4 linked regions of the Oreochromis niloticus genome follow. The protein of the gene in region 4 purifies or fractionates together with the protein of the main gene of each other region. This does not show direct contact. Links are inferred from orthologs where the notes say so. Each region holds a gene or a part of one and is shown on either strand. Other genes may lie near its edges.

Region 1 (7,478 bases), on a different chromosome or scaffold from region 4:
AACCGAGGAGCTATTGTCTTGATGTGAGCTTCTACTAAGGGTTTTTTCTTCCAGTTCAGAGCAGGAATGTTTTTGTTAATAAACTGGCTGTTGTTTTTTTTTCCCCCACAATTTTAATTATAAGCTAGATATATTTCTACTAATGGAATTAGTTTGCTAACAGCAACAGGGATGAGTCAGTGAGTCAGCTGCGCTTGTGAATCATGATTCACGAGTCAGTAAAGTGATTCTCGAGTATTGAACGATTCGTTCACGAATCGAACATCACTAAAGTGGAGTGAAACCACGTAATGACAACGTGGAGATGTGAGCAGGACAGACGGAACAATTGACGGAAAAAGTGTGGACTTTATACCAGTTCTTAAATTGTGTTGATAGGCCACGTAAAACCAGAGTTATGATAAAAATATATGCAATGTTTGCTTTTTTTCCCTGAATACTATCGTTGTTTATATTTACTGCGGGAAGAAACGGTAAAAATGGCGTTTTATAAGGAAAACGCTCGAAAGGACTCTCCACCTGTGAGCAAAACCAAAAAAAACCCACCCTTTTCTATTGGTCGAAAAATGTACCGTGTCAACCAATTAAAAAATGATATGGCAACATGGCATTTATTGTTATGAAGGGGGGAAGTTTTAGGAGTGACGACAGTGTTTTGAGATGTGAGAGATTTGCGACGTTTAGCGCAAATCTTGTGTAGTTAGTGTGTAGTAAATGTTAAATGGCCTGTATTTGTATAGCGCTTTACTAGTCCCTAAGGACCCCAAAGCGCTTTACACAACCAGTCATCCACCCATTCACACTACACATTCACACACTGTGTGTAGTGTAGTCAATTGTTTTGTTGTGTGTGTCAGAACAATGAGGCGACTGCCGAATGTTACAGGTGTTACAGGAGTGATACATCCTGTTATCAGGCCTGCGGGTATCAGGCTGTTGTTCTCCTTTATCTCATAGTGGACAGAAATTGTTTTTTGCAGTGGCACAAATAATTTGTATGGCATCAAATTTGATGCAGAACAGCTGATTGTTCTGTAAATAGTTTGAAATGTTTATTTTTTAAAAAAAAATGCCCTGGCTGCATTTTTAGGTAAACAGCTGCAAAAAACTTTGTTGTTTGCGCAACACTTGTGTAACTATATAATTAATTGCCCAACATTGGTCATTATATACTGTATTTTGCAGACAGAGAGTTACAGGACTCTCTCCCAGACCATAGACTCATACTCATCATACAAGTCAGAGCTTTATATAAAAAAAGAAAAGAAAGAAAGTTGAGTTTTCAAGGCCACTGGATATTTGAAATTGCTACATGATGATGTCAAAGGAGTTTGCAAAGAAAAGCGTCTGGACTTCTTTAAGTTGCTTGAAGACGTTTCACCTCTCATCCGAGAAGCTTCTTCAGTTCTAAGGTCAAATGGCCGAGAGTCATGATGACATGATGATGTGTTTCCCTTTTTGTGCACTGAAGCTGGCACGTTCCCTGAGTTTTTCCAGCAAGATGGTGCACCACCGCATTATGGGTGCCAGGTCCGAGCATTCCTAGATGAACAGTTTCCTGGAAAGTGGATTGGTTGTCGTGGGCCAGTTGAATGGCCCCCAAGGTCTCCTGATCTGAGCCCCTTAGACTTTTATCTTTGGGGTCATCTGAAGGCAATTGTCTATGGTGTGAAGATACGAGATGTGCAGCACCTGAAACTACGGATACTGGATGCCTGTGCTGGCATTTCTCCTGCGGTGTTGCCAGTGGCGTGTCCAGCGGGCCACCCCCCCAACCAGACTGGCCACCCCAGGTGCCACCCCGAAGCTAAAACAATAAAATTCAATGAAATGTCAAATGTACGATTATGTTTTCACAGTGAAGCTCAGATATCCAAGTGTAAGTGAATGCAGCATCAGCTTCTGCGCTATGAGCATCATGTTAGCAAAGGTAGGAGAGCCAAGCATGAAAGACGGCACCGCAGAAAACAATTTTTCAGCGAAAGATTAACAGGTTAACATAGCTGGACTGGCCATCGAGCATATCGGGCATTTGCACGGTGGGCTGATGACTTATTTATTTTTTTTGTAATGAACAATGAGAGGTGGTGGATTGGCCAGATGCTGGCCGATGTGTAAAAATAACTTGTTGTTTGGTGGTGGCTATGGCGGAGCTTCCACAGAGGCCAGCAGGTGGATGAGGGAAGGGGAGGCAGGAGGAGGAGAGACCCGAGGCAGCCGCCGGTCCGAGTGTCAGGTGAACTGAACTTCAGGTAAGAAGTTATGACCTGCAGTCTATCTGGTTCAGATATAAACCAAGTTTAGGTGGAGTTTATTTTCGTTGTGCTGACTTTTTACAGTCAGTTACAAAAACTCTTACTGCGTGCTAGCTAGCATGGCGGAGTTTCTATACAGCTGGGTGGGTGCTGTGATGTTACTGATAGTGAACTTTATTTTATTCATAAGGTTAGTTAGTAGAGTTGCCAACAGCTCCTTAAACATGGAATGGTCCCTCATTCAGAGAAAATATTATACGTTTCGTATTGAGCTGAGAAGAAACACAGTTTGTCCCGGACTTCAGCAATAATGAAAAAAAGACACAAAGCTGGAGTTATTCTGTCTTTACGCTGCACAGCTGCCTCTTCTCTCATTCTCTCCCCTCTCTCCTGTTGCTACTTCAATCATGAAACTGATCAATGATCAGCTGATCGGCTTTTCTCTCGTGTTTGTTTATCGCCCACTTTGCACCAGAAAGAGGAAACCGGCGTATGTCGCGCTAAACAACAGCAGCACATTTAAGCTTGATCAGCTGTTGATAGAATTTATTTAATATTAATTTCTAGTATCAGCTGATGTTTGCTGGAGCCACAGCTGTAAAATCTGCTGGTCATGATATCGGTTTGGATATGAGGTGAGAGGGAAACATGAAGATGAAACCAGGAGATGTCCTTACTGAATCATCAGAGCTGAACAGGTGATGGAGAAACAGGTTTACCTTTTAGGTGACATGAATGAGTTGAAGGGAAGTTATGAACTGTTTCTGAGAGACCAATAACACCAGGATCCTTTTCTGTGTAGCTGACAGCTGGTAACTGTGCAGAGGCGGGTCTAGCAAAGTTATGCCAGGGGGCCAGGTAGGGCATTAACAGGGAAAGGGGGGCACAAAGAAATACTTTTCTTTCTTATTCTCATTTAAAATATCTAGCTTTTATTAAATAATTATCTGAATCTTGCGAACAAAGTTTTTATCTGACGTAAAATGTATAGAAATCATACATATACCAACAAGACTTTACATCACTGTCACAACAGCATTTGTTTTCATTCAAAGGCTTTATGGCTTTAATACCCGGTGGGCCGGTCTCTGGTCAAAATGCCCAATTTTTTGTCCCAGTCCAGCCCTGCAGGTTAATACTGGCCGTGTCACCATGCCAGCTGACTGTATTTCATCATCAGCCAGTGTTGTTCTTTATACATCAATATTACCAAAGTTTACCATAAGGCAGCATAGAAAGTATTTACTTGCTTTCAGGTTTCATTCAAAAGTTAGTCTTTTCATTTGTTTCCCCACTTTTTTCCTGTTTCAAAATCAAACACCAGTTTGTGAGAAGATTATCTTCTTTTTTTAATAGGCAGATAAAGTTTTGCATTGGCATTGGCTAATTTGCCAATTGTATGTTAAAAATGTTCGTATTTTAATATTCAAAAATGTTTTTGCCCAAAACATATGTGCACTATATTTCCATAAAAATACTATGCAAATATTGCTGTCCTTGAATGCTGAATAAACAATGACAAAGCACTTATTGTATCTCTTGTACTTTATCAACGCAATATCTAAAAACTTTGCACTATAGTGGTTAAAATCTCATTCTAATAAGAGTTAAAAGCGCATTCGGTTATTAGGTTTATAGGGTTATTGAATTATGGTTAACGGTTGGTAGAAAGTTCTTTTTTAACATTATCTGCCAATTACATCTGCCACCCTTCTCCAAATCTGTACCCCTACCTGGCCCCCCCCAACAAAAATTTTCTAGACACGCCACTGTTACCTGCTATGTGACGTCTGGTCTGGCAGGCTCTTGTGTTTGTAGTCCCTATGGAGTCCCTAGGAGTACAAGGGGCAAAAAGGAAATGACAAAAGAAATAAATGACCTCATGTCAGAAATAAAACAAGAAGCAAATAACTGTAATGAAATACTTTGAATGTGATTAAATAATACAACACATCAGCAAATCATGTTTTTGTTTAAGCCACAAACTTTACAGGACTCAGTATATGATCGCTGACGATCGCACTCCAACACTGCAGGGGGCAGTAGTGCGCCGGAAACATGATCATCCGGGTATTCTCAAAAATTGCGCTTGTTTAACGTCTACGCATATTTTCTGACGTAAAGCAGATTCTTTACCGGTGGAGAGAAATATCGGACGTAACCGCCGTCTGTGAATAGTACTGAAGCTCGTTCATCGTGTGTCCGCTGTCGTGCGTCGTGCGTTTATGCAGTTTTGTGTTAGCGCACATCAGCCCAACACTGAGGCGGAAAAACACGGAGAATAAGAAAGAAATGTTGTGCTAGCTGACTGTGTGCGGATTAAGGCTTTATCCAACGATAAGAAACGCTGGGAGTGAAGTAAGCGAGGTACGTGTTGTTGAATGCATTCTGTTATCGCTTAGTTTTACCTCTCACTCAATCGTTAGCCACCGTGCTAGCTTTAGCAGTTGGCTAAGTTGCCGCTTCCTCCACGCTTGGCCTAATTAATAACTAGTGTTGCAGTGTGAATTACAATGTGTTACATGTAACATAATGTAGCCATTTATGAATGATATCCCGAGTTTACGCTGTTTCTGAACGGGCTAACGACAGTTAAACGCGGGTAAAGTTCGCCTTGCTGTTGCAGTTTTGTGCCATCCGGGAGGCCATGTTAGGCTAACGTAGCTAGCTCATCAACTATGAGCACGAAGATGTTGAAGCTACACAGATTAGTTAATGTGCAATAAATGCATTTTCTACCGAATTAAGAAGCTACTTATTATTTTTGAAAGGCATTTTTCTCCAAGGCCATTCTATTTTCCAGAGCTTGCAAGGCATTAAGCACACACGTTCACTTTGTGGCTTCTGTTATTTAATCTGTGGGTTGCAGGAGCCAGACAAGGAATTCATGTGCCAATGTAATAAGTTTCTGATCAGTCTTTGTTTCAGTTAAGTTAAGTGTAAGTTGGCTTGTTTGACATGTAAAGCCTCTCTCCTCAGGGTTTTCATTATATACAGTTATAATCAAAAATCTCACTTATTTTCATACCTTGTTTTGTGTCTTTGTTTTGGATAGTGAGGCACCATGGCAGCTGCCTTTCCTTACAGAGGCGTCCCTGCAGCGATGCCACCCGGTGTGCCACCAGGGGTACCACCTGCTGTGCCGCCTGGTGTGCCCCCTCCTGCACCTGTCCCAGACTACATGTCTGAGGAGAAATTACAAGAGAAGGGTATGTTGTTTGTATTGACTAAAGCAGGACTTCCATGTTTTGAGCTTTTAGCGAAGAAGTTTTCACAAATAGACAAGATTAACTTCGCGATTATTAAATGTCTTTCAACTCTACAGCAAGAAAATGGCAGCAGTTACAGGCAAAGCGCTACTCAGAAAAGAGAAAGTTTGGGTTTGTGGATGCTCAGAAAGAAGATATGCCACCTGAACATGTCCGCAAGATCATCAGGGACCATGGAGACATGACCAATAGAAAGTTTCGCCATGACAAGAGGGTCTACCTTGGGTAAAGATGACTCCTTTAACTCTTTTTAAAAGTCTTAACAAAAGTCGGTGTGTTTTCTTCTTGATAACATCTTCATATGTGCGTTCTGTGTCTGTCTGTTGAACAGTGCCCTCAAGTACATGCCCCATGCAGTGCTGAAGCTGTTGGAAAACATGCCAATGCCTTGGGAACAGATTCGAGATGTGCCCGTGCTTTATCACATCACTGGAGCCATTTCCTTTGTCAATGAAATTCCTTGGGTCATTGAGCCAGTCTACATTTCACAGTGGGGGTAAGGGAGAGTTTCTACTGCTGAAAACTTTCAAGCCAACTGTGCTCATTTCCATTCAATAAAACTTCAATTTGTCTCTTTCCCGATTTTAATCCCAGCACCATGTGGATCATGATGCGTCGTGAGAAAAGAGATCGTCGGCACTTCAAAAGAATGCGCTTTCCACCCTTTGATGATGAGGAGCCGCCACTGGACTACGCTGACAACATTCTTGATGTGGAACCCTTGGAGGCCATTCAGATGGAGCTTGATCCGGAGGAAGATGCTTCAGTTGTGGACTGGTTCTATGAACATCAGCCCCTCAAGGACACAGCCAAGTAAGCAGCCATGGCTCTCTTCACAGACAAAGATTTTAAGTTTTGCATATTCAACTGATGTGTTGCTTGAAACATTAATTGATGATTTATCTTTGTCTTGCTCAGGTTTGTGAATGGCACCACCTATCGTCGCTGGCAGTTCACACTGCCCATGATGTCCACACTGTACCGTCTGGCCAATCAGCTTCTGACAGATCTGGTTGATAGAAACTACTTCTATCTGTTTGACCTGAAGGCTTTCTTCACATCCAAGGCTTTAAACATGGCCATCCCTGGAGGGCCAAAGTTTGAGCCGTTGGTCAGAGACATCAACCTCCAGTATGTTCTTTCACCCTTTTAAAAAATGAATATTCTAAAGACTTACTGTTATTAATGTTAATAAAGTTTTTATAGTTTCGCTTTCAGAATTTAAATATTTCTTGGAAATTATTTGATATTGCTGTTTTAATCCAAACATAACGTGAGAACAGATGCTGGCTGTTTTGTGTCCTAACTGGTTCCTCTGTATCCTCTGTAGGGATGAAGACTGGAACGAGTTCAACGACATCAACAAAATCATCATCCGACAGCCCATCAGGACAGAGTACAAAATCGCCTTCCCCTACCTGTACAACAATTTGCCGCACCACGTCCACCTCACCTGGTGAGAACTGCTGTTTACTTGAAATGCTGGCTGACTGAAAAATCCTTTTTCATTCAAGACAGGAGAGACATTCATCACTTATAAACATCATAGATTTGCTGCATTATTTTTCATAATGGCTATATAAAAGCAACACTTGTGATGTTTTTGTTTTGTTTTCCCCAGGTACCACACACCAAATGTGGTTTTTATCAAAACAGAAGATCCCGATCTTCCCGCATTTTACTTTGACCCGCTGATCAACCCCATTTCACACAGACATTCTGTTAAGGTAATGCACATTATCTACTTATCTCCCTTTGGTGAATAACACCCTGCATCACAGTCCTCTTACAAAGGCGCACTTGCATTGGACTGCTTGCCCGTGCGTAAGAACTGGAGGAATAGTAAAATGAATGGTGACTTGTTATTATTGGCTGCAGCTGCAGATCACCTTTCACCATTCAGATATCTCTTCTAGTTATTTTATAGTTTGTTGAATTCCAGCCCTCCTGCCCT
Region 2 (8,187 bases), on a different chromosome or scaffold from region 4:
AATTTTAATTGTTCCACAACACTGAAGTTAGAGATTTTGCTCACCCCAGCCCACCGATGGAGGCCAATGACTACTAATTTTCATAGTGAAATTATAAATTCTCTGTAGAGTTCACTATTAGACCCCAAAATACAAATACTTGATCGATCCAACTTCATAAATGAGCCAATATCACAGTTGTGTTTCCTTTATTTTGTTTTTTTAACGTTCAAGTGTAGCTAACTGGATGGATGTGGACTCTAAGTTTAATACTTACCCAGTCCATATTTATCAGAGTAGTCCACCCATTTGCTGATCCAGAAGATGGGGATGCATGCAGGATCCTCTGCCTCCTCTGTTTATTAAAAGAATTAACATCTCTGTATGAAGCACTGACACAGACACATAGATTTTCCAGCTTAATAAAATGTACAACACAGTCATAAAAAGTCAGCGCTCACCTTGGCGGACGACTGCCTTCTCAGAAGGCTTGGCAGCAATGATGGTGTTGAGCTGCTGCAGCATGTCTCTGAGGTGGTTCTCCGACGGTTCAACCTCCCTACACGCAGATTACACCAGTCAAAACATCCAAATACATAAATGTGTCACAGAAAGCAAACCTGTCCTTTATAAATATTTCCATTATTTCAAGTGGGACAAACATCTCACCGTGGTGCAGGCTCGTCCTTCATCTCCACCTTCTCTGTCCCTACTGGAAACACAAACCCGTATCATTAACATTCCTGCAAACACTAAAATAATTCAACTCCAATATTTCAGCCTTGCTTTAAACATCTGAAGAGTTGGGGCTTCTTTCAACTCTAGTCCTGCTGGGAGGATTACCTTTGTTATTTATAGCTGTCAACGGGCGCCTCTGGCTGAGCTCGGTACTTGTGGAAGGGGCAATAGAGAACCGCGGGGGCACCGTGAGACAAGTCGTGGGCAGGCGCAAGGGGATGTAGCCGGACGTGATGAACTCATCCGCTTGCAGCTCAGCAATGGTGGGCCTCTGGGTGGGATCGGCATGCAGCATCCTTTTGATGAGGGCGGTCGCTGCTGGGTTGATGTGCTGCACGAAGACAATTGCCGTTTAAGTTGATACGACTTAAACAAAAAAAAGCATCTTTGTATACAAACTTTTTTTTCTTTAAAAAGGAGCATCGTGTTAAACCGCCTCACCCAGGGGATGGTGTAGTTGTTTTTCTTGATGCGGTTGTAGGTCTCCTTCAGACAGGAGGTCTCAAATGGAGGCTTGCCCACCAACAAAGTGTACCTGAGAATTCAGACAAGAAGGAGGTTAAAGTGACTGTGCAGATTTTTGTTTTTTAAACAACTTTTAACTTTCTAATACATCATTAGAAGTATTTCTTGGGGTAAAATATAAAACCATTAGGACTCATAGGGCTGCATTTTGTAAAAAGACAAAAAACCCTAATTAAACATGAGCAGATGTGCAAAGCTTGGCATTGGCATCAGCCGTAACACCTCCGTTTCCAGGTGTGCTTGTGTATTTAGACTTACAATATACACCCAAGTGACCAGACATCCACTTCATAGCTGTGGCCTTTCTTGCAGAGCACTTCAGGAGCTATGTAGTTAGGTGTTCCACACAAGGTCTTCTTCCGCTCACCATCAAACTCAATCTTTGTGGCAAGGCCAAAATCCCCTGTTTTAAAAGAAAAAAGGGGGACATAACTGTAAAGAGGCACACTTGTGTGCAAAAGTTCATTCTTGAAGTATGAGAAATTACTGACGCAAGGACCTGGGTGTGCCTTTTCTAGTAAAACCAGCAGGTTAGTTTGAGGTTGCTAATATATCCAGTTGACATTTATAGCCCCTGCCATCATTCTGAGCTGAGCAAATTACCTATCTTGACGTCCATGTCGTCGTTGAGGAAGATGTTGCCCAGTTTCAGGTCTCTGTGGATCACTTTGTTGTTGTGCAGGTACTGGACACCCTTGAGCAGCTGAGTCATGTAGTATCGGGCCTCGGGCTCTGTGACAGCCTTACGACGCTTGTGCAACTCCAGCAGGGACTGAAGTGGAGAAGAAAATGATTTGAAACTGGGGCACTGAGACAGTAAAGCAGCAGAGAGGCAGTACTGAGGCACATTTTTAACAAAAATCAAGTACATCTGACGGTAACCATGTCAGTGTGGAAAGAAAAGATTTTAAAAAAGTACTAATGCCATCAAAATACTGAGTTTAGGAATAGTGGCTCATTTGAATTATGTTCAGAGCTCCTGTGGTTTTAATCAGGCCAAGCTTCCTGCACTGTGACGGGAAGGCCATGGGAAGAGACCGCCAGGGTAACCGTTGGCCGTCCACAGTTAACAGAAAGGACACTTTCTCTGCACTCACCCTTCTCCTGCAGATTTCCAGGACGACAAACACAAAATCATCGTCCTCGAAGAACCCGTGGAAGCCCACGACGTTGGGGTGGTTGAGGCTTTGGTGAATGGAGATTTCCGAAGTCATCTTCTCCCTCTGGTGCTGCTTCAGGATCAGCGATTTGGGCACGATCTTTCCGGCGAAAACCTGCTTTGTCTCCACGTCTGTGATTTCGTAGCATTTTGCAAATCCACCTTTCCCGAGGAATCTCCCCCTCGTGTATCGTCTCATGGTGCGTGGGTCGACCAGAACATCAGGGATTTCTTTTAGAGTGGCCGATTTTGGGTCGACGTGCGGCATCGGGTTCGCCGGCTTTGCAACACCAGCGCTCATTTTGGATTAAAGTGCACTTAGCCGGGAGTAAAAAGAAACGTTTTAAAGCCCCTTCGCAATCGAGGTATTAATGATAAACCCCAAGAAAGAGAGTATTGTTAACCCTACCTTAACTGACGTTAGTTTGGCCTTGGAAGCTAGCGTGCTCCCTGCACTTCTGGATTTAAATAAAAACTAGCTCTAATACACTTTAGACGCCTTTTTTTACTTAAACATTGCATTGACAATTAAAACGCAGTGCAACTAGACTATAAATCTTTTTTGAAAAACGAAAATATTCAATAAAGTAATCGCCAGAGTTGTCCGTCGATGGCTACAGCGTTAACCCGTCCTGCCTTTTGACAACAGTTTCTCCTAAAAGTTTAAAATGCTGCCTCGGTCGTTACGGTGCTCTGTGATTGGTCCGCTCGATTTGAATTCTAAGGTATTGCAGCAAAGCATCATGGGAGATTAAGGCAAAAATAGCCAATAACTAAATGAGTACGTCACATTCTGCATTGTTATTGGCTGAATCCCTGTTGTTGGTTTCTTATTGTTTCCTTTAAGCGAGTACTGATGGGAAATGTAGTCGGGGTGGGCTTTAATCGTGACATACGTCCGTTTTTTTTCTTTCTTCTTCTTCTTTTTTTTTTTTTACCCAAGTAGATAACGTGAATTTAATGGTCATTTGATTGTTTTCTTTTTCTTCTTCTTTTTTTTAACTAAAACCCCTGAATAAATAGTCGTCATCGTGGATTGTTGTAACCGATTTAGTTTAGTCGAGGTAGCAGTCTATAGGCTAACTTATATGAGACTCAGTATAATTTGTAGATTTACTTCACTGCAATAACCTTTGCTTATTTATACGCTGACCTCACTAGTTTTCGGTAAGAATTGTTTCGTTATTACTCTTGTAATACTACTTTTCGTAATTATCAGTCGTGAGGTTGTCCAGTTTAATTAACTCTAACCAGCTACAACATGTAGACTGTACATTTATGTAAAACACACAACCTATTTTTATTACTGTTTTTAGCCAGTAGGGGGCACTGCCACGCCTATATCCTATCCAATAACTTCCCGAATGCTATAACTTTATACGGTCCCAATATTAAAATATGTTGAAAAGCAAAAATATGTTGATATCAATACCATAACAGATTGCTGTAGTTGAAGGCTGTAGTTATACAGTGGGCCAAAGGACTGAATTTCTTTGAATGGATTGTTCAAAAAGTGTTACCATATTTCCATTAAAACCTTTTCTGGATCAAGTATGATGAGTGTTAGTCAGTGCAATGTCTGTGTTTCATTAGTTTCATTAAAACTTTTGTGTACATTCAGGATATATTATGGTTCCACACAATTATTGATGGGATTGTCATTGCAACACCAACTAGACTTAACTTCAGGCAGAGCATTCATGAAAAAGGCAATGTAAATAATTTTTCACTGAAATTGTAACTATGGAAAGAAGAATTATCCAGAATTGTGTGGAGTGGAAACAAAATTTGTGGCAAACATGGTCCACCTTGTACGTCATGATCAACCAACCACCCAGGCCTTTGCTTCACCCCAGTCTTGACTCCATGGCTACAGCCTTGCTCTGCGTCATTGCCTGTAATGCCTTTTACTTCTAGCCTGCTGCTTCTACAATTACCACTAATGCTAGTTCTGGTAAATGACAATCATTATCACTCTCAATAAAAAAAATAAAAATAAGAAAAACAGGTATGTTGGCTTTACAAAAACCTTAATTGTTACAAAAGCTGATAAACGTTATATATAGTGCTGTAATATTCTCTGAACCCTCCACCCCTACAGTGAGGTGCACTGGTGGATCACTTATCCTGTGTGTGTGTGTGTGTGTGTGTGTGTGTGTGTGTGTGTGTGTGTGTGTGTGTGTGTGTTTCTGTTCGCCCAGAAAGGTTACTGTAAATCTATGCTTAGCTGTCATGAGTGTTCATCTCAGGCCTGATGAAACATTTCTGTTGTGATGGAAATAGTCTCTTCTAGCATCACAGCCTCCGTCCATAGTGCACTCAGTTGTTTCTCAAGTATGAAAATAATGGGATTCATCTTCATCCAAGACAAACACACATGGCATGTTTCAGAGATTTCTCTTAATCACATCATTGTCACCCATCTGTTTATATGTATTTTGAATCATTGTGCTTTTATTTATTCTGTATTTTTATCATCTTGTTTTATAAGATGTGTATATTGGTTTTCTTTTTTATTGATCTGATCCTTATCTAAATTACTGAGAAGACTGTCCAAGAGCACAGGTGTTCTTTTATTCTGCGCACGTGCAGCTGACAAATAAAGTAATTCAAACTTTAATTTTCCTGTTGTTCACTCTTCTTGGTAAAAGATAAACAAAAGCTTTTACTCCAATAGTGTGAAATTTTTGATGTGTAATGCTGCAGAATCATCCTTGTCAGGAGCCTCTGTTCTTTAGCCCTTGTGTGCTATATGGGCCTCTGCTCCTCATTCATATTAATGCTTTTGTGGCAGACACAATTAATATCTGCTTAGCAACAGATTATACAACTGACATGGTGATAAAGAGAGGAAAATAAGAGGAGAACAAGTGGATGAAGAGAGGACAGATGATGAGACCAGTGTGTTTGCTTAGCCCCTTTGTTCTACTTCATATAAGTGTCTGTGTGTGTGTCTAAAACGTCACGACACAGTTTCAAGCAAAGAAAGGAGCTATTTTTATGATGCACCATCTCACGCTAAGCCAAAAATGGCAGTTGTTGTTCATTATTACAGAAAAAGAAAAAATATGCGCATCGGCTTTGTACATCAATTTAATAACTCAGAGGAACAATTTTAAGATGTAAATCTTGGAAAGCTTGGAATGCCGGGAAGTTGGGAATAAATGGAAGAGACTCCCATCAGAAATATTTTCTCAGAGGATAAATTTGAATAGTCACAGTAATTTGTAACTGATTTTCAGTGTCCATTTTCTCTAAAAAAGTAGATCAAACCATATCACAACAGCATCAGCAGACCAATTGCCAATTGCTATTCTGGGCACGTCCGCAGGGCCCGTGTATATTTGGGGGCCCATCCAAGAGAAGATGAAATGAAAAAAAAGAAAAAAAAAGACCAGAACTGTATCATCTCAAACTTTACTCCTATTTTAACAAAACATAGATATACATATTCTTTTTAATTATAACTGGTAAAATCCAGTAGTTTTATTTTGTATTTGACCTGCCTTTTTCTAATTTTAATTAAGGAGCGAGGCTGCCTTCACAAGATCATTTATCCATTAATTTATTCATTCACTTATTTATTGACAAAAAAAAAGTTTACTAATTTTCTAAGTGGGGACCTCACAAAAGTGTTTTTTCTCATTAAAGCTCTCTGGGCTCTACTCTACTGTTTCAACACTCATCCGGGAGCGGGACTGTAGTAGTGCTGAAAGGAGGAAAAAGAGGAGACCACCAAACAGACAAAGGGAATAAGAGGAGAAAAAGAACATGTGTGTGTGCAAAAAGTCAGGATTTTCATTATATATTTAAAACTAAAACGTTCCCTTTGATGGTTACTTTAAATGGTAAAATGGTAAATGGCCTGTATTTGTATAGCGCTTTACTAGTCCCTAAGGACCCCAAAGCGCTTTACACATCCAGTAATCCACCCATTCACACACACATTCACACACTGGTGCCATCGCCAGTGTGTGATTCCTGTATGAATGTGAACCATCACAATCCTGTATGATTCTGATTATCGAAGAAAGAAAAAAGCTCTAGGGCCCATCAGACATTTGTGCACAGTGGTGTTTAACTTTATGATCCACGCATGGACAGACTTATTACAGATGTGCCAAGACCAGTGGAAAGTTTACAAATGAAGCACCGGACACATTTTAGAACAAAGTTATTTTACTGACACCATATAAAAATGTACACACAAAATAGGACTCAAATAAAGTGCATCATCCCGTTTGCTGCCCGTAAACTATGAGTATTACAGGCCCCGTGGCTTTCAGACACATTAAAGACCCGAGGAGCCTTCACCCATGAACAGGTGTGAAACTGAGCAGGCGCAGTCCAGCTGCAGCTGTTTCTACGACAGAACACAGCTGTGGTGCTTCTTCAGCGAGGGTCTCTTCCTAGCTCGGGGCCTAGGCACGGTGTCTCTGCGTGTCCACGCCGCGGGGCTCAGTTGTGCCGGCAGGTTCACCTGTTGCAGCAGCGAGCTAAACACCCCGACCGCGTTTCTGCCCGTGCTCGCGGACGCCTCCACGAAGTCTGCGCCCCACTCAGCCTCCACTGTGGCCATGGCGTCACCGGCAACCGGCGCTCGACCTTCGCTCTCGGTCAGATCCGCTTTGCTGCGGACCACGGTGATGGGCGCGCTCCTGCCGCCGCCGCGCAGCTCCAGAATCTCGGCGCGCAGTCGACGCACCTCCTCGAAGGAGCCAGGCTCGTCTGCCGCGTACACCAGGGCGAAGGCGTCGCTGTGTCGGATGCAGAGCTCCCGCATAGCTGGGAACGAGTAGCTGCCGCTCGTGTCCAGTATCTCCAGCCGCATCTTCTCCTCAGAGCCCGCGGTGTCATACTCGAGCACGTGAAGCTCCTCGACAGTGCGCGTGTACTTGTGCTCGAATCCGTCGTGGAGGAATCGGTGGATGAGCGCGGTCTTGCCAACCCCCGCTGCTCCCAGGAACACAAGCCGGACCGTGTTCGGACGCCCTGACGGAGACATCCCGGCCATCCCGGTGCACGTGCAGCTTTATGCAGCTTCATGCAGCCAGGCTATTTATAGGCTGCTCCACCGATACAACCCCACCCGGTCGTTCTCCGCTCAAAATCGCTCAAGTTCAGACTCTGAAAGCCACGGAGCACACCCGATTTGGCAGCATGGAAACATAAGTGATTTATGGATTTACTGTATTTTCAGCGCTTGTGTCAACATGTGTGAAAGAGTCGAACACGTGCGTTTGTTTGCAGCGTTTGTGAGTCATGGAACTCAATGCCAGTGTATTTCACAGGAACCCGGATATCATAAATCATTTCCACAACACAGTTCACAACAGTGTGCATACAATAACAAGCGTCTGTCGAGGCTTTAGTTAATTTACAACCCATGGTTAGCCTTTTTACTTCCCACCATTGTGTTTGCTTATTTACTGCAATGATCCGAATCCCCTCTTTTATTAATGGAACAATGGGGATGCTATACCATTCTGGATCCTCCTCGTAAAATGTAATTCTTGCAGCACTCTACTTCTCACCAGCAGAAATACAGCTCTAGCTGTGAGCACAGAACCCCCACCTGCTGATCAAACCCTGTGTTTGTAAAGGGTGGCCAGTCAGAAGAAAGCTGGCTAAAAGAAAGCTAGAAGGGAGCTGCAACTTGTTACTTGACAGAGGATGAATTAAGGGGCTGCTACAAGGCCCAGTATAAAATAAATGATGATTCTGAACTGCGAAGAAGTTATTTTGATTTTCCTATCTAAAAGAAGCATAGAAGTCCCATTTCAGGT
Region 3 (7,993 bases), on a different chromosome or scaffold from region 4:
AAAACACCAAAGTCACACAAACGAACCTTTTGATATAGCAGTAAAGCAACAGGTTGCTCTGTGATAGAAAATTTATAAGTGGAGTCTGGCTGCTTTGATAAGACAATGAGAGTGGCCTCAGTTCGGAAAAACTGGCAGTTTTTTTTTTAATTAATGTATTAATAATTCATTTATTTAGTTGTAGTAGAGATAGGAAGTTAGGGAGAGACTGAGTGAGAGAAGACACGCAGCTTTTCAACATATGTATCGCAGACTTTTTTCTACATATAAAAAAATTCTGAAAAATAAAAATACATAATATAGGACCTAAGGTTAAAAAAAAGGGACTGTACCTTGCTTAATCCAATATTGTGGTACTTTTTTTCCATGATCTTCTTTACTGGCTCCTCCTCCTTGAATGTGATGAAACAGAAGCCTCTCCTTTTGTTTGTTTTGTTCTCCATGGGAAGCTCAACGGACTCCACCTGTTCACATTAAGACATAATTTAATGGGCAAATAGGAGCCCTGCAGAGCCACACAGAACAAGTGGGGAAAAAGATCAGGAGATTTAAAACAAAACCTAATTTTCATAAGTCACAAACCTCTCCAAAGGCACCAAAATACTCTCTGACTTTCTCTTCAGGAGTGTCCGGAGAGAGGCCACCAACAAAGATCTTCTTTACTGGCTCCTTGCTCTTCATGGCCTTGGCTTTTTTGGGGTCAATGACCTTCCCATTAAGTTTATGTTCTTTCTGTGAGGCAACCTGTAAAGCAATATAGACAATTGACAAAAATTTACATACGTGAATATTTCATCTTTCATCTTGATTTAGCGGAATGGATGTTTGATTGTTTGGGCATCATTGAGACCAAACTTTTATTATATGTTTTATTCATAAACCTCGCAGTACTGTAGTTACATTCATTCTAATTTAAGTCTGTATGACAGGCCAAAAAGGCCAAAAATGAATTTTTTCTGCTAATCATTAAATAAAACTGAAAAAAACCCCCACGCACACAGACATGAAGCTGCACAATCACAGCAAGTTCATGTCTGTTAGAAAAGTAAATTCACTGGTAATTAAAAAAAACACATCCACTTATGGGAACAGGATAATACCTTATCAACACTTTCAGGTTCTTTGAAGAGCACAAACCCAAAACCCCTTGACCGTCCAGTCATGGGGTCCAGCTTTAACGTGCAGTCTACAACTTCCCCAAACTTTGAAAAGTAATCTTTCAGGTCCTTCTTAGTCGTGTCCCAGCTGAGGCCTCCAACAAACATCTTCCTGTTGACAAATCACACAAAAATAAGCAGGTGGTGTCTATGTGTGCAGACTACTTTATAAGACATCTATGCAAGCTTCTTTAAACAGCTGGGCTGCTCAAAGGTCCCCTCATTTGCTAGAAGTAATCTATGTAACTTGCTTAATAAGTAATTTATCATCAATTTACATCCGGACAATACAATATCAAAACACAGCAGATCCTCCATTCATTAGGTGACTAATGAGGACCTGATTTCATCTTTTATGTGCATCCAAAATGTGAACACATACAATGGTTTTTCCGAAATCAAAATGGGCCTTCACATATAAACATGTTTTGTCCATATTAAAATAGAGCAAAGAGTCTGTTACCTTTCTTAACAGAAGCCTGTGAACATCTTCCTGTTGTTTGTGACCATTTGATAAAGAGAAATGTATTTATTCTTGAGTAAATTCAACTATAATCATAAAACGGGGGGTAATTGTTTTGTGATTTTACAGTGATGGTGATTTTTAAATGGTGGAAGTCCGAAACCCCTTTCTATAACAGAATCAGAATACTTTATTGCAGAGAAAACCATGCATATAAATCCACCAGTGAAGTACTGTAGACCTGCAACCAACCAGTTAGCAAGAAAGATGGTTTTGTTTACAACTGCAGTGAAAAAATGTTAAGATATTCCCTAAATTGAACCTGTTCTAATTCTTTTTAATTAAGGGATTCAGTGACCATGTTGATATAAAAGCACTGTGACTCTCAGCCTTTTCTAAAAAGGGAAACAAAAATCCTGCACTGTAATGTATGCTCTTCATACAATTTTGGAACCATTAGCTCCACTAATGATTGATATTGCCAACACTTGAACATTTGCTAATTATTAGCCAATATCCATGAATAGTAACCTAACGCAATCTTCCTCTTTTTGCTGCTCCCATTAGGCGTCGTTAAAACGGATAATCTGCCTATACTTCACCCTATTCTTGGCATCATCTTCTGTCACACCACAGCACAATAACAAACCAATACTCTGTACATGCATCTGTACTTTGATTTTCTGAACAACTGGCAAAGCTGTTTTTCTTAACAGAAAACTGAAAATAATAACAAATATTCAAAATAAATGATATTCGAAAATATCACTTATTTTAGTGTAACATATCCTTTTAAAACCCAAGCTTTTAAAATAGCAAACCGGTAACACTCAAACACCTCGGAAATCGTTCTAGTGTAATGTTTAGTTTATGAATGCAGAAGTAGTACCCAACAATAACAATGCCAGGTCCTGCAAAAATCCGGTCCTGCAGCTACAGCATCTTTTCGATTATCAACAGAGATCAACAGTGAACCTGAGTCTAGCCACCCTTCATCATCACCATACCCTTCATCCTCCTCGTTTTTACTGGCGTCGATCCTTGATCCTTCGGCCTCGCCCCCCATAAGGCCACAGTCCCCCGCTGCTGACATCGGGTCGTCACTGTTCGCCTCTCCATCCTCCTCCATTCTCATCATGTTCGGGTCGTCGCTTAATTCATAATCATCCGACATGTTTCGGCTTTTTCTGGAACAAGTCTTAAACTAAAGCTTCACCCCTAAAGGGCTCTGAAATCCAAGCTACGTCAGATATCTCTGCTGGAGCTAAGCTAACGGTCTGGCTTCTGTCAGCTGATGACAGGCTAGTAGCTGGCTAATATTTTGATATCATATGCTGTTAAATAAAATGTCTGTCGCTAGTTAGAACAAGCTAACTGGTTAGGTTACGTGAATCCAATGTGGGGTTAGTATGAAATTGGAGAAAACACCGCTCGGTATGAAAAAAAAATTAGGTTGAGTTACGATAATATTGAGAGGTGACTTATGAGCGTCGCTTTGTTTTCGTCGCCGTCATTTCTTCTTCGTCGGTTAAAACCGGCTGACAAACCGACGTGAAAGCTAGACCGCCCCCCTCTTTATGTAACAAATAGTACATTTTCGGCTTAATTTCCTCTTTTTTGTGGAGCAGTTTGCAAACTACAGATGAAAAAGAGGAAGTAATTGAGGCAAAAATAAGGAACTGAGCAAAGTAAACAGAAAAATACTAAAGTAGAATTATGTAAAAGACATTTTTCAGTTAGTAATTTATACTCTGAACAAATCTTTGGTCAATAATACACCAAAGACAAAAAGTAGATTCATCATGATTGATGAATCAAATAACCAACCCACCCATCAGCATGTTATAGAATATCATAAGATGCAGAATCTAAGTCATAAAATTTAATTTAATGACTACAGTACTGTGCAAAAGTCTCACCCCTCATTTATTTATATTTTTCTTCCAAGGAGCCAGACTTTTGTCATTTTTTTAACTAATCTTGAGCAAAAATTGTTAAAATCACTTACCTATTGGCACGAACCACTGTTATGTTGACACAAGCTACTTATCAAAGCACCAGTTTTAAATTGCACCTTTAAGGGTTTTTTTGTTTTCCTTTCTTTTTTGTGGTTTTATCATTTGTGATCCTTACTGTTCAATTTGAAAGCACTTTTTTAAAACAGTTTGGACTGAAGAAGAAGACAGGCTTCTGGGGGAGACAAGGCATTTATTAGAAGTCAATTTCCTGAATAATACCAACAATGTTTCACACAAAGTCTGGCAATGTTTCAGTATTTTCACTTCCCAAGATCAACATTACAAATGAACAACAAGTATGGCACATTTAAATAGACACCATTCACCTGTGAGGGGATTAATTAAGACATTCAAACAAAGTTTCAAATGAAGACTCTCATTCTGCTGAGTGCATCTATACTGTAATTATACTTTCTAAAACGAGACAGTTCACTAACTGTACAGGACTCCATACGTCTGCAACACATTTGTTTGGGTAGAGGGGAAGGAAAATGGTACATGAACATTTACAAAATGGTTAAGAAATACAGTTCACGCATATACATTTGGAGAGTGGCAGTCAAATACAGTTCGTCTAAAAGGTAAAAAGCTAGTCTCACATGTCATGTGCAGTTTCCTTCAGGCTTGTAAATGTAAAGCAACAGCTTCCCATTCAATCAAATGGTCCAATGACAATGACGTCCCATTTGTGTTCCTATAATGCTTGGTGCATCCGTTTCTATTCATGAGAAAGGCATCCTGAAAGAACTGCATAGTGAGCCACCTTTAAAGACTGGAATTTCATGATCAGCCCCATTGATTGCCAGCAGTCCCAGCAGCATCACCAGTCCCTCGTCACCCATCAATGTGGAAGAAAGAAAACAAAACAATAAAACACTAGAATTGCAAAAAAGGTGGGGGCAAAAAAAGAGGAGAGGTCATCACGAAGTCATCCTTTGTTAACTCTTTGTTAAGCATGTCCTGTAAGCTGAAGTTGGCTAAAGGAGGTAATGAGGTTATAATGGGCCCTCTCCTCATCTGTCAGCTCCATGTTTCCAGGCCTGACCACCACCACAACATTAATGCCGGCTTCTTCTGCAGCTTTGGCCTCTACAATGACAAATGCAGTCACATTAAAAAAGGAAGTACACTGTTGTCTTTTGCCCTTAACAGAATATTATTATCAAGACGTGACAATAAACAAAAGTGGCCAATAGGAATCTCTTTGGAGACGGGTGTCAGACGGTTTCAAAACCTCAACACAAAACGACTACTTTGAACATTTCAGTGTTTCACAAAGCCTCACTTTGCCCATCACTGCCTTCGCCCCCACCGATCTATTCATCCTGGTAGTCTTGATGTGATCTTACTAGCAGACCAAACCCAGAATATTATCATTGCTAACATACTTACCCCGGGTGACGTCTGTCAGGAATGTGATTTCCTCAGGCTGACAGCCGATCCTCTCTGTAATTCTCTCATAGCTCTTTGCATCTACTTTAGCCCCTATACTGGTGTCAAAGTGACCGTCAAATAACTGAAAAGAAAAAAAATCAAACCATCAGATTAGACAATATCAATAACATAAACAACAAGAGCTTACAATTTGTTTTAGCCAAGTACAGCCCCTCCAATACAAAAAATTTAACCTTCTTATAAAAGAAATAAATAAATAAAAGAAAAAGAAAATAGAAACTATGTGCAAGCAAAGGTTGTGTTTGCACTAAAGTGGGAGAGGGGAACATACTTCTAGAAGATCTCCTTCAACAGAGTATCCAAATAGAAGTTTCTGTGCCTCCACGCTTCCAGAGGAGTAGATGTAGACTTTCAGGCCACGTGCTCTCCATGTTCTGATGGATGGAACTACATCCTGATAGACCCTGATTTTAAAAAGGGATGGAAAAAAAAAACTGCAGCTTATTAATATTATTATTATTTTTTATCTCAACCTCTGACAAACAAGCCAAATTATGACCCAAACCTGAGCAGAGCGCATATGAATTTTAAAAGTGAGGAAAATGATCAGTGTACTTACTCGCCTTTGATTCTCCCAGATGCATAAGCTGCCCTCCACATGTGACCCTGAAACTGTTTGAGTGCTGTGGACTTCCTGTCTGCCGCCATCTGCCACAGAACATTTTCTATTACTTCCCTAATGGCCTTCTCCTCATCTGTGTGAACTGTCTGGTCCACAGTGTGCACAGGACACGCCCGGTTCTGTTTCATGTCCTCTTCAATCTGCCGTGACAGTCAGCCTTTTTGTTAAAAGAGCGCTAAGGCATGTTCCCTGGTTTACTTGGTGGATTAAAACAGGGACGACAATATTCATCAAAAAAAAAGGCAAGCAATTCAGAAAATAAAGGATAGAAGATGAAAATATAAGAATTCTTCAGTACCCAAATAAAAGTTTTCCCTCCTTTGTTCACTAGCTGCTGATAAATAACAAGCTGCATTCCTGCCAGGCTGAGTAACAGCCTGGATTTCATTCTTCCAGTAGGGAATCACACTTAAAAACATGTTTGCCAGCTACCTGTTTCTTTAGTAGATGAACATCTTGTTTGCACTCGTCTTCTTCCCAGTGAGTGGACAGGTAATCCTCAAGATGCTCTTTGATGTACGGAAAAAGGATATCCTAGAAATGAAAATATGGACATGTGACAGCGAAAAATAAAATAAAATCAAAACATAAAACCCACACTAACGCCTGAGTGATTTGTCAGCAGACCGATATCACCTATCTGCCAATCTGTATTTATAGCAGCCAATAAAGTTAAATTTTAATAACAGAAACTACAGAAGAGATGGTAGAAACACCCTTCAACCAGTGCTGATGTCCATAGTTTCTCCACCGGAGGGCACTCTGCAACTTCCCCGATGGCAATATAGGACATACATATATCAGTTAGGCTCTAATTCAGACCCTCTAGTCAGAAAATACTAACAGAACAATTTTTATTGATTCCTGTTTTGAAAGCCTTTTCTTTCATTTATGGTACAGCTGTTGTGTCCGTTTGCATAGACATTTGCCTACCCAGAGAGGAGTTTTTTTAACCCACGCAAATGTGCTTCCATGCAGTTCTTGAAAAACCCAACAGTGTGTAGCTCAATGTTGATGAGCATTGTGAATGGTGACTGGTAAACCAATGATCAGGAGCAACAGGAGACTACCAGGCATGGGAGATGCGTCAAAACGCAAAAATTTAAGTGAAAAAGAAGAAAAAAGTATGACGAATACAGAGGACACCTTCCACTGGTTTTAACATTTGGTCTTAACATCAGGCTGAAGGACCAACAACAGCACAAGCAAGAGTAGCACACTGCCTCCATTTGGCAACACACAGATAGTGTATGGACAGTGGACAGACGGTGTGGACCGTCTGCAGGTAGGCGGACTGTCCATAGCTGCCCACTGATTACCAACACACTGCCACCGCCGAACCGTAATAAACTGTCATGTTTCTTCACGCCGTGTGGAATGATCTAGAGCGGGAATTGACCTCCACATTACTGACTTCCAACAGCTGCATACTTACATCGTGACGCTAAACAGTAATTAGAAAACTGGCCTGACTCCACATGTCTATGTCTGTTTCTAACGCATGCTTTGTGTTTCTAAGACACAAAGCAAAGAGGCTTCCATAAAAGTAAAAAAAAAATTACATGAAACTGCTAATTACAACACTTCTTGTGTGACATAAACGCAGCGTTAGGTGTGTTCGTTGTCAAACGGCATTTCTGGTTATATAAAGCAAATATGGACGAAACAATAAAAGGACAAAAGCAGACAGTTGTAGAAGCAAAACAATAAAATTGCATTACATTCAGGCGATAGAGAGACGCTGTGAAGTTCTGTTGGTTTAGCTATGTGCTACCGGTGACAGGCAGCTGTTAGCATAGCCGCACAACCGGACGTGCAGACTTTGTTTGCATTTCACGCTGCTTACCTTCACAAATGTAATCGGTGTGGTGGTGCCTTCAATGTCGAGCAGCAGGGCACTAGTGCAGGCAGGAATAGAAACAGTGGCCATTTTTACTGGGTGAGTCTGCAGCTGCTCTTGTTAGCTGACGTTAGCTTACTAATTAGCAGCACCGCGGTGGAAGAACCAGGCTGTACCCGGTCCTCGCTGTTTCTACAAGACTAACAGATCAAGCAGACCACAGATTATGCATGCGCTAACAAATCTATCTGGTGGTAAACCACTAACTAGCTATCACTTCACAGCTAACACACAGGGCAGTAATATGCACACATGGCCAGCTCCGTCAGTTCAGACTCCACGCCAGTAGGTGGCGGTACCTTAATAATGAACAACAAGTAAAACAACAAGAAGAGTTTATTTGTTTAAAACATTATTTAAAATCTATATTCCAACACC
Region 4 (7,382 bases):
TTGATGTTCTCCAGCAGATGTTCTTGTCCTCTGATGAAGAACGGGTGCTGAAACTCTGTGTCATCTCTCTCCGGTTTCACCAGACCACCCTGCTCAATGTGCACCACCTTACGGAAACCATCTGGGAGAAATACCATTACACCATGAATAATGGATGTGGATACTCGCTAATATCACAGCTCCTCTTTCTGGTTCTTCCATAGTCCAGAAGCCTTTGCATGCACAGTGACAGAGGTATAGCATGCACAGGTGGGCCGGTCCTTTTTTTCTATCCTACTTTTTTTAAAGAGGGTTCTGCTGAATGTTGAGAAAAGTTCAGCTTTTCAGCATACCAATCAACTAGCACTTCTTCAGTGACATGGAGAAAAAGAAGCTGCTCATGCACAAAGATCGTCGTGATGACTGATCAGCTTGATATACACAAACCGGTAGCTTAGCTCAGCGGTTCCCAACCTACGGGGCACAGACCAGTATCGGACCATGAGAGTTGAGGCTCGGGTGTGAAATTTATGGTTTTCAGGGTTTTTATCTGTTTTTATCGGTAACTCTGTTTCCCTGGGTCTTTTCCTGTGTGTTATGAATAAATGTTCTTTTTTTTTGGTACTGATACTCGTTTTATTTGTTGTATTTATCCGCGACACCTTAAAGGCCAGTCCGTGAAAATATTGTCGGACATAAAATAGTCTGTGGCGCAAAAAAGGTTGGGGACCACTGGCTTAGCTCATTAACTGCTATGTTAACTGCAGGCTACCTTGCCTTGTGAGGACTGGTTGTTGCTGCTATGACAATTACGGCAGCAAAGAAAAGCCGCTAAACACCAGACATTTGACTTATATCTCAATGTTTCTTCACAAAGCACGCCTGATTGGATGAATCTTCTTTCCCAAAAAATAAATCAATAACAAAAACATCTAACCTTCTGTTACACTGCCAAATAGTGATAGCCCCACCTCTGAACGATAGCTTGTTCAGAGGTGGGGCTAACACACTGATGATTCCTTGCTGGTTACTCACACATGTTGAGTTGGCGGATGAAAGAGGCCATGTTGTTGTGCTTGAAGAACTTTGGCAGAACTTCTTTGGAAAACCGCCCCTGGTCGAACACATGGAAACTGGTACCACTCTTATACAACAAGAGAAAGAAAAAAAGAAGAAGAATCTGTATTATTGTGGTGGCTGTGATTCAAGATGCAAAGCAGGTCATCTGTTAATCAGAAGGTTGGTGGTTTAATCCCTGGCTGCTCCATTCTGGATGGCAAAGTACCCTTGGGCAACATATTGAACCCTGAGCTCAGGGTCCTCTTTGATGCGTTCATTAGCTTGTGACTGTTAGACAGAAAGCACGCAGGTTGAAAAAAAGTGTATGAATGTGTGTGAATGAGACATGGGGTATAAAGCACTTTGAGTACTTGAGTATTAAGGAATGTATAAGAACCATTGCATTTACCTTATAATCAACTGATAAAAAGAGACTATATACGCTCTTACGCTCAGGAATCTCCAGGAACAGATCTGAAAATCAGAGCACACTGCTAACACTTTAATCTCAGCTGTCTGCTCTCCAGCAGACTGTTTCTGAGCAGCTCAAAATTTATTGATTATTTTAACACTTTCAGGGTTTTTTGCACCTGCACATCAGGCACTGATGTATAGATTACTGATTGGAACTCAGTAATCTATACATCAGTATAGATTAAACAGAACTGTCAGAACACACTGCAGATGAAAGTGAACTCTTTGTTTTTCTTCCATGGATCCAAATAAAGATATAAAGAGAAACCATTAATTTGGGGGACTTGTGATCCATATCCTGCCGTGGCAGCTTCATTTAAAGGAGGAGGTGAAGAACAAGAAAGTGTTTGTTGTTAAAGCAAAAGTAAGTGCTACATAGCTAGCTTAACCCTTTCATGCATGAATTATGACAACCTCAATCAGGATTTTTTTCTTAAGTATTTTTATTCATCTTTAGGCATGAAAAAAAGATCTTTGAACTTCATTTCTTAAACATGTATTTTTCAAATAGTTTTTTTACATGTCCACTTAGGTGGACATTTGGAGTGGGTGGCAGCCCATATGGAAAAGAAATAGAAAAAACTTTTTCCAATGCCAGTTGGCAGTTGTAAATAAATGTTGATTACTGCATCCGATAGCCCAGCAACTATCTGGCATTTTGGTTTCTAGTTAAACTAGAAGACGTTCAAAGGGAGGTGGAGAGAAAAGGACCGCAGTACTGTTTTTGCCCTCCAGGTGGGCGTGTCGCAGTAATGAAAACCATGGATTAAAGGTGCATTTTCCTTTTTAAACTACACTTGGAAATTACACTTCAGACACTTCTTTAATCTGGTGTTACATGACCTTCAGCTGTGGGTGGAGCCTAATAGTTATGCAATAAAAAAAAACAAATAAACAAACAAAAAAAAAAAATTAGGAAAATAAAGATGGAGACCTTTTGGTGATAAGTGACCGATTTCAGTGCAACCTGAAATTAACACCTGCAGCTGTACAAGGTGTGGGCTATGACACTACAGTGACATCATAGGCAGTCATCAGCTTATTTGAATTCAGGCTTTATGCCAACCTCCAAAACAGCTGCTGGAATCAGTTTGTCAGAAAAACAACTGTCAACTGATAATTTACCGACTAGCTGATGATGTCTGATATCGTTTGACCTCTGACGTGAGCTCTGTTAGCCTTAATAGCTCACTGAAGCTAAGCTAACTGAGCTGACCTCTTTTTTTTAGTCAGTAAATAAAGTTTGTCAACAAACTTGTCTACATTCCAGTTTAAATAAAGTTGTGTCTGTTTCTGCTGTGTAAATAAAATTAAACTTGTCTGCGTTAGCTGTTAGCTGTTATCGTGCGTACCGGACTCCAACAGATGAGCGGGTCGGTGTCCGGGTCCTCCACCAGGGTCCACAATTTGGTCAGGAAGGCCGGGACGTTCCCGCTGCTCAGCACCGCTCCCCCTCCTCCGGGATATTCCATCTGAGAGACAAAAATCGAGCACACACCTGAGCTAACGACGCTAACAGCTAGCTGCGTCAGAAAGAAAACAACGAACTACGACTCGGGTCCCCGATCTGACTCGGACCGCGCCGGTTTGGTCCCGCTGCTGAACTCAGAGCTCCCCGCGGGGCTGCAAACAGACGTGCCGAACTTTATTTCACTTAGAGCCGCGATAACTCCGCAAATCCGATAAAACACAACTGCGCAGATAGCTGCCCAGCGCGGTCTGATGGCGTAAGCACAATACGTAACCCTAACGTTCTGTCGCGCTGTGATGTGATGAGCAGTAAGGCGGATTTTATTTTTTATTTTAAGCTTCATTAGCAATTCAGACATTACAGATTTAAATGAGCAAAAGACAATGTCAGGGGTGGTCGTGTAATAACAATTAGACACCCCCCCACCACCACCGCACAAATACATCCTGCGATAAATTACAGGTAGTAATAAAATAAAATAAAATAAAATAAAATACACTAGTAACTCTTTTACGCTACGTTCATACCTACATGGGTATTTTTGAAAACGCAGCTGTTTCTATGCGTTTGGGCCTTTCGTCGGCACGTAAACGGCGTTTCGAATCACTGAAAACGGAGATTTTTTAAAACTCCGTTTTTGCGTTTACGTGTGGACGAGGAATACAGAGTTCATCACGCAACGTCAAAGGTATGTGCCTTTTTTCACATCACGGTGTGCGCCACGTTATTGTTTAGATGAGATGAATTGCAGAATGGCAGATAGTAAGATTAACAGTAACAGTATTTTGTCTCTATCTTCAGGTTTTACACACTTACATATACACACGCAGTTACTGTCCCTCCATTTAGAAAGGCAGAGGCGTCATGGTGTAATTATTTTACGTGTAGTTGTTTTTTTCCTGTGTAATAATATTCAACATTGCTATCAATACATTTTTCAAAAATGCCTCTCTGTGCAAAATGGGTTCAAAAACATAAACAGCTGTGGGATACTGTTTGTCCGTGATTTGGACAGGGGGAACAAACTGTGGCAGGATCAGCCTGATATTATTTGTATCCCACTGTAACTTTACTGTATAAAGAGCTAACATGTCCAAAATGTCAGGAGTAGTTAGTTATTACAAGAAGTGTTCCTGAACTAAAAATCAAGAATGTGGGATACTGTTTGTCCGTGATTTGGAGAGCCCAGCGCTGCTCCCGACGCAGGGAAAACCAATTCTGCAGGGGCCCGTTCTTCGTACCTCGCTAAGTAAGTTAGCCGGATTTGAATGTTGACGATTTCGCGTGATCTTGGATCGTTCGGTTCTCCGAAGCTCATCTGGGACTTGCTGTCATAGCAACAGATCCGTAAGAGTAAGCCTGCTCGGGAGCAGGTTTACTTTATGTAAACAGGATTAGATCGCGGCCACTCAGGTATGTCCGCTGCAGTTTTATGAAAGCAAGAGCGACATTTCTCCACTGTTTTACCATAAATAAATATTATCAATGTAACTAAAGATAATGCAGCATTTGATTCTTTTATTGATTGCATACAGATACATACAGGTCATTTCCGAAAAAAAGGGAAATGTACTATTAACCATTCTATTACATGTAGTAGATCATGTCAGATGTAATTCATATTTTAGAGTAGTAATAGTAAATTACTACGTGCAATCAAGATGACAGACCACGGCTAAAAAAGCGAAAGTGGATTTGGGAAGTCTGTCGCAGCCATGTCCTGTCCGTTTGTACGCGAGCAAGGAAGGTGCAAGATTGATAAGGAGAGTTTACAGAATTTAGCGTATATTGCGGGATAGACGGGATCCTTTAGCTCAGCGCGACGGTGTGCTCATAGAGAGATATCGATTCTCCCGTGAGGGTATTATTTACTTTCTTCCTCCCCCTTTCTCTCTCTCTCTCTCTCCCTCTATATATATATATATAGATATATATATATCTATATATATACTTACTCCCGACTTACTGTGCATGCTTCAGTCACCCCTTGCATGGGAACAGGTAAAAGTGATGGAGTGTTATTCAAACTACACACATAAAAACCCACAATGTCAATAAATGTCACAGTACAAAAAGGGGTGTGACGAGGGGGTGCAGGACCACCACCTGTCTTTATTTGCTCTGCCCTTTTCTTGGTTGCTGTTATAAACAAACAGATTATTCCAGGGTCTCTTGTCATAGACTAAAAGCAATATAAGTGATAAATATTACCATTCTGTAGAATATTCTTATATTTCACTTTTACTTTTTCCCATGTTCTAGTGGGTCCTGTTGTGGCTCTAATGTGAAAGAGGATATGATGTAATATAATATACTGTGGTATAATATAATATCACATGATATAATGTAATATCACGGATCACTTACGAGTTTAATTTGTCAGCAACTTTCTGCCAGCCCTCTCTCCTTGCTTTTGCAGCCTTTGCAGTGTTCCCCTGCGTTTTAATTAAACTCTGAAACTCCTGCTATCCCTCAATCAAGAGTTCTTGCTCTGCTGCCGTGAGATACTGCGCGCGCTCCTTCGACATCTTCGCCGACCAATCACAGGGTTGCCGATCAATGTTTCTACTATCGATGCGTAGCCCCTTTAAAGCCACCCAGTGATCTCAGATTACTTCAGCCAGCTATACTAATCGTCAACAACAGGTGCGTTCGGAGAACCGGATTAGCGAGCTCAAAGTTAGCGCGATGATTTGATCTTGGATGTGTCATTTGATCTTGGATGTAGTAAGCGAGGTACGAAGAACGGGCCCCTGGGGAGACCTACCTTTGTTTATTTTCATACCGCGCTCCCCCTGCAATGGCTCTGCGCCCCCCCTAGGGGGCGGGCCCCACACTTTGGGAACCTCTGGGCTAGGGTTTGAATCACAAGATACCAAACAAGGAGCATAAATTTATAGTTTTATTGCTTTTATATTATGGGAATGTTGTATAGTTTTAAAATATTGTCTGGTTTCATTTATGAAGCATTGAAAAGACGGTTTTGCATTAGAAATTTTGGATTTATGTATATGAAATTTTAAGATTAGTAAATTAATCAAATGAAATTTGTTTGCCCTATTTGCAGGGCAATCAAAAAAGCCAAACAATATTTTTCCGTAACAAAGATAAGATAAAAGAAACAACAAAAGCACAAACATCTTGCCAGAAAAGATTAGCGCATAAGTAGGACCAAAATAAGAGAGAAATATCTTTTTCTGACAGTGAAAAAATGAACAGTTAGCATCAATGTCTTTTTATATCGTACAAGTTCTGGTGGGTTAAAAACGATGAATATTTTATTTTAAAGATATTTCTTTTACTTTTTTGGTTAACAGGAATTTCAGTGGTATGGTCCAAATTTTCTTCCATTCCAGGTCCCAGTAGTTGGGTTGTTTTGGGAAAACAGATCTGTCTAACAGAGGTAACAGCAGGATCAGTGGTAGAGGGGTCAGATCATACACACACACACACACACACACATATATATATATATATATATATATATATATATATATATATATATATATATATATATATATATATACATATATATATATGTAGAGAGAGAGACAGAGAGCGACAGAGACAGAGAGACAGAGAGATAGATATCTAAGAAAGTAAAGCTCCATTTGGATTAAGAAGTTCCGCAACAAGATGAATCCCATGAACAAACCAGTCACCTATAAATAAAGATTTGTGTTTGTATAAAATGTCTCTGTCATTCCAAATATAGTATCTGCGCAGAGAAAAGTTGTGTTTATAAAGTAACAACCAGGAAAGACGCATCTGTTTATGAAAGTTGGACAGTTTTAAGGGGATTTTATCAATATTGTAAGTAAAACAAAGTTAAGATCGCCAATTTTTATTTTTTTTAAATTTGGAATAAAGTTCCAAATTGATGTTGGCTGATTTTTATTAATGAGGATACCAAGTAAGTGATGTACTCTGTCACTGGAATGCCAGCAATAGAGGGACTGGTACAGTTTCTGAGGGCAAGCAGTTCACAGTTACCGATCTTTAAGTGGAGTTCTGAAGCTACAGAAAAAGCATCAATTGTGTTAATGGCTATCTGCATCTGTGAAGCACTTTTTAAAAAGAGGGTGGTATCATCAGCAAGCTGACTAATGAATATTTCTTTTCTGCAATTCTAATGCCTTTCATGGGACTAAGTTTAATATAGTCAGAGAGGAGCTGAGCACAGATGAGAAACAGATATAGGGAGATGGGGCAGCCTTGCCTGATACTACGGTTCAACTTAAACCTAAAGGACGTACCTGTATGAAATTTGATGGAACAATTAGCATTTTTGTACATCGTTTTAATAACATTCTGAAAGTAAGGGCCAAAACCACATTTGTCCAAAGCCTGAAAAATAAAACTATGTTCAATAGTATTGAATGCTTTACAGAAATCTAAA

The links.
Region 1: the proteins of hsf1 (region 4) and prpf8 purify together in Homo sapiens (affinity purification with mass spectrometry; 3 studies listed by BioGRID). This does not show direct contact. The link is inferred for Oreochromis niloticus from reciprocal best matches to the Homo sapiens genes HSF1 and PRPF8.
Region 2: the proteins of hsf1 (region 4) and plk1 purify together in Homo sapiens (affinity purification with western blotting; 3 studies listed by BioGRID and IntAct, with this or other methods). This does not show direct contact. The link is inferred for Oreochromis niloticus from reciprocal best matches to the Homo sapiens genes HSF1 and PLK1.
Region 3: the proteins of hsf1 (region 4) and hnrnpd purify together in Homo sapiens (affinity purification with mass spectrometry; 3 studies listed by BioGRID, with this or other methods). This does not show direct contact. The link is inferred for Oreochromis niloticus from reciprocal best matches to the Homo sapiens genes HSF1 and HNRNPD.

What each region holds. Positions count from the first base shown.
Region 1 is NC_031979.2:19,593,691-19,601,168, reverse strand, and holds the start of prpf8 (pre-mRNA-processing-splicing factor 8), read left to right. Parts: upstream 1-4,410; 5' UTR 4,411-4,622; intron 4,623-5,310; 5' UTR 5,311-5,319; coding exon 5,320-5,464; intron 5,465-5,580; coding exon 5,581-5,749; intron 5,750-5,855; coding exon 5,856-6,020; intron 6,021-6,118; coding exon 6,119-6,337; intron 6,338-6,442; coding exon 6,443-6,655; intron 6,656-6,854; coding exon 6,855-6,980; intron 6,981-7,145; coding exon 7,146-7,251; intron 7,252-7,478. UniProt on the Homo sapiens protein: Plays a role in pre-mRNA splicing as core component of precatalytic, catalytic and postcatalytic spliceosomal complexes, both of the predominant U2-type spliceosome and the minor U12-type spliceosome.
Region 2 is NC_031971.2:12,088,812-12,096,998, reverse strand, and holds the start of plk1 (serine/threonine-protein kinase PLK1), read right to left. Parts: upstream 3,108-8,187; 5' UTR 2,811-3,107; intron 2,719-2,810; 5' UTR 2,703-2,718; coding exon 2,340-2,702; intron 2,015-2,339; coding exon 1,846-2,014; intron 1,646-1,845; coding exon 1,501-1,645; intron 1,253-1,500; coding exon 1,159-1,252; intron 1,049-1,158; coding exon 823-1,048; intron 692-822; coding exon 649-691; intron 539-648; coding exon 441-538; intron 335-440; coding exon 257-334; intron 1-256. Other genes in the region: GTP-binding protein Rhes-like, read right to left, coding at 6,765-7,415. UniProt on the Homo sapiens protein: Serine/threonine-protein kinase that performs several important functions throughout M phase of the cell cycle, including the regulation of centrosome maturation and spindle assembly, the removal of cohesins from chromosome arms, the inactivation of anaphase-promoting complex/cyclosome (APC/C) inhibitors, and the regulation of mitotic exit and cytokinesis.
Region 3 is NC_031972.2:11,790,056-11,798,048, forward strand, and holds the start of hnrnpd (heterogeneous nuclear ribonucleoprotein D0), read right to left. Parts: upstream 3,168-7,993; 5' UTR 2,795-3,167; coding exon 2,628-2,794; intron 1,651-2,627; exon of another isoform or gene 1,621-1,650; intron 1,270-1,620; coding exon 1,101-1,269; intron 745-1,100; coding exon 583-744; intron 465-582; coding exon 333-464; intron 1-332. Other genes in the region: enoph1 (enolase-phosphatase E1), read right to left, coding at 4,588-4,727, 5,031-5,154, 5,365-5,497, 5,653-5,855, 6,148-6,249, 7,562-7,645. UniProt on the Homo sapiens protein: Binds with high affinity to RNA molecules that contain AU-rich elements (AREs) found within the 3'-UTR of many proto-oncogenes and cytokine mRNAs.
Region 4 is NC_031985.2:36,095,490-36,102,871, forward strand, and holds the start of hsf1 (heat shock factor protein 1), read right to left. Parts: upstream 3,273-7,382; 5' UTR 2,985-3,272; coding exon 2,865-2,984; intron 1,124-2,864; coding exon 1,015-1,123; intron 122-1,014; coding exon 1-121. UniProt on the Homo sapiens protein: Functions as a stress-inducible and DNA-binding transcription factor that plays a central role in the transcriptional activation of the heat shock response (HSR), leading to the expression of a large class of molecular chaperones, heat shock proteins (HSPs), that protect cells from cellular insult damage.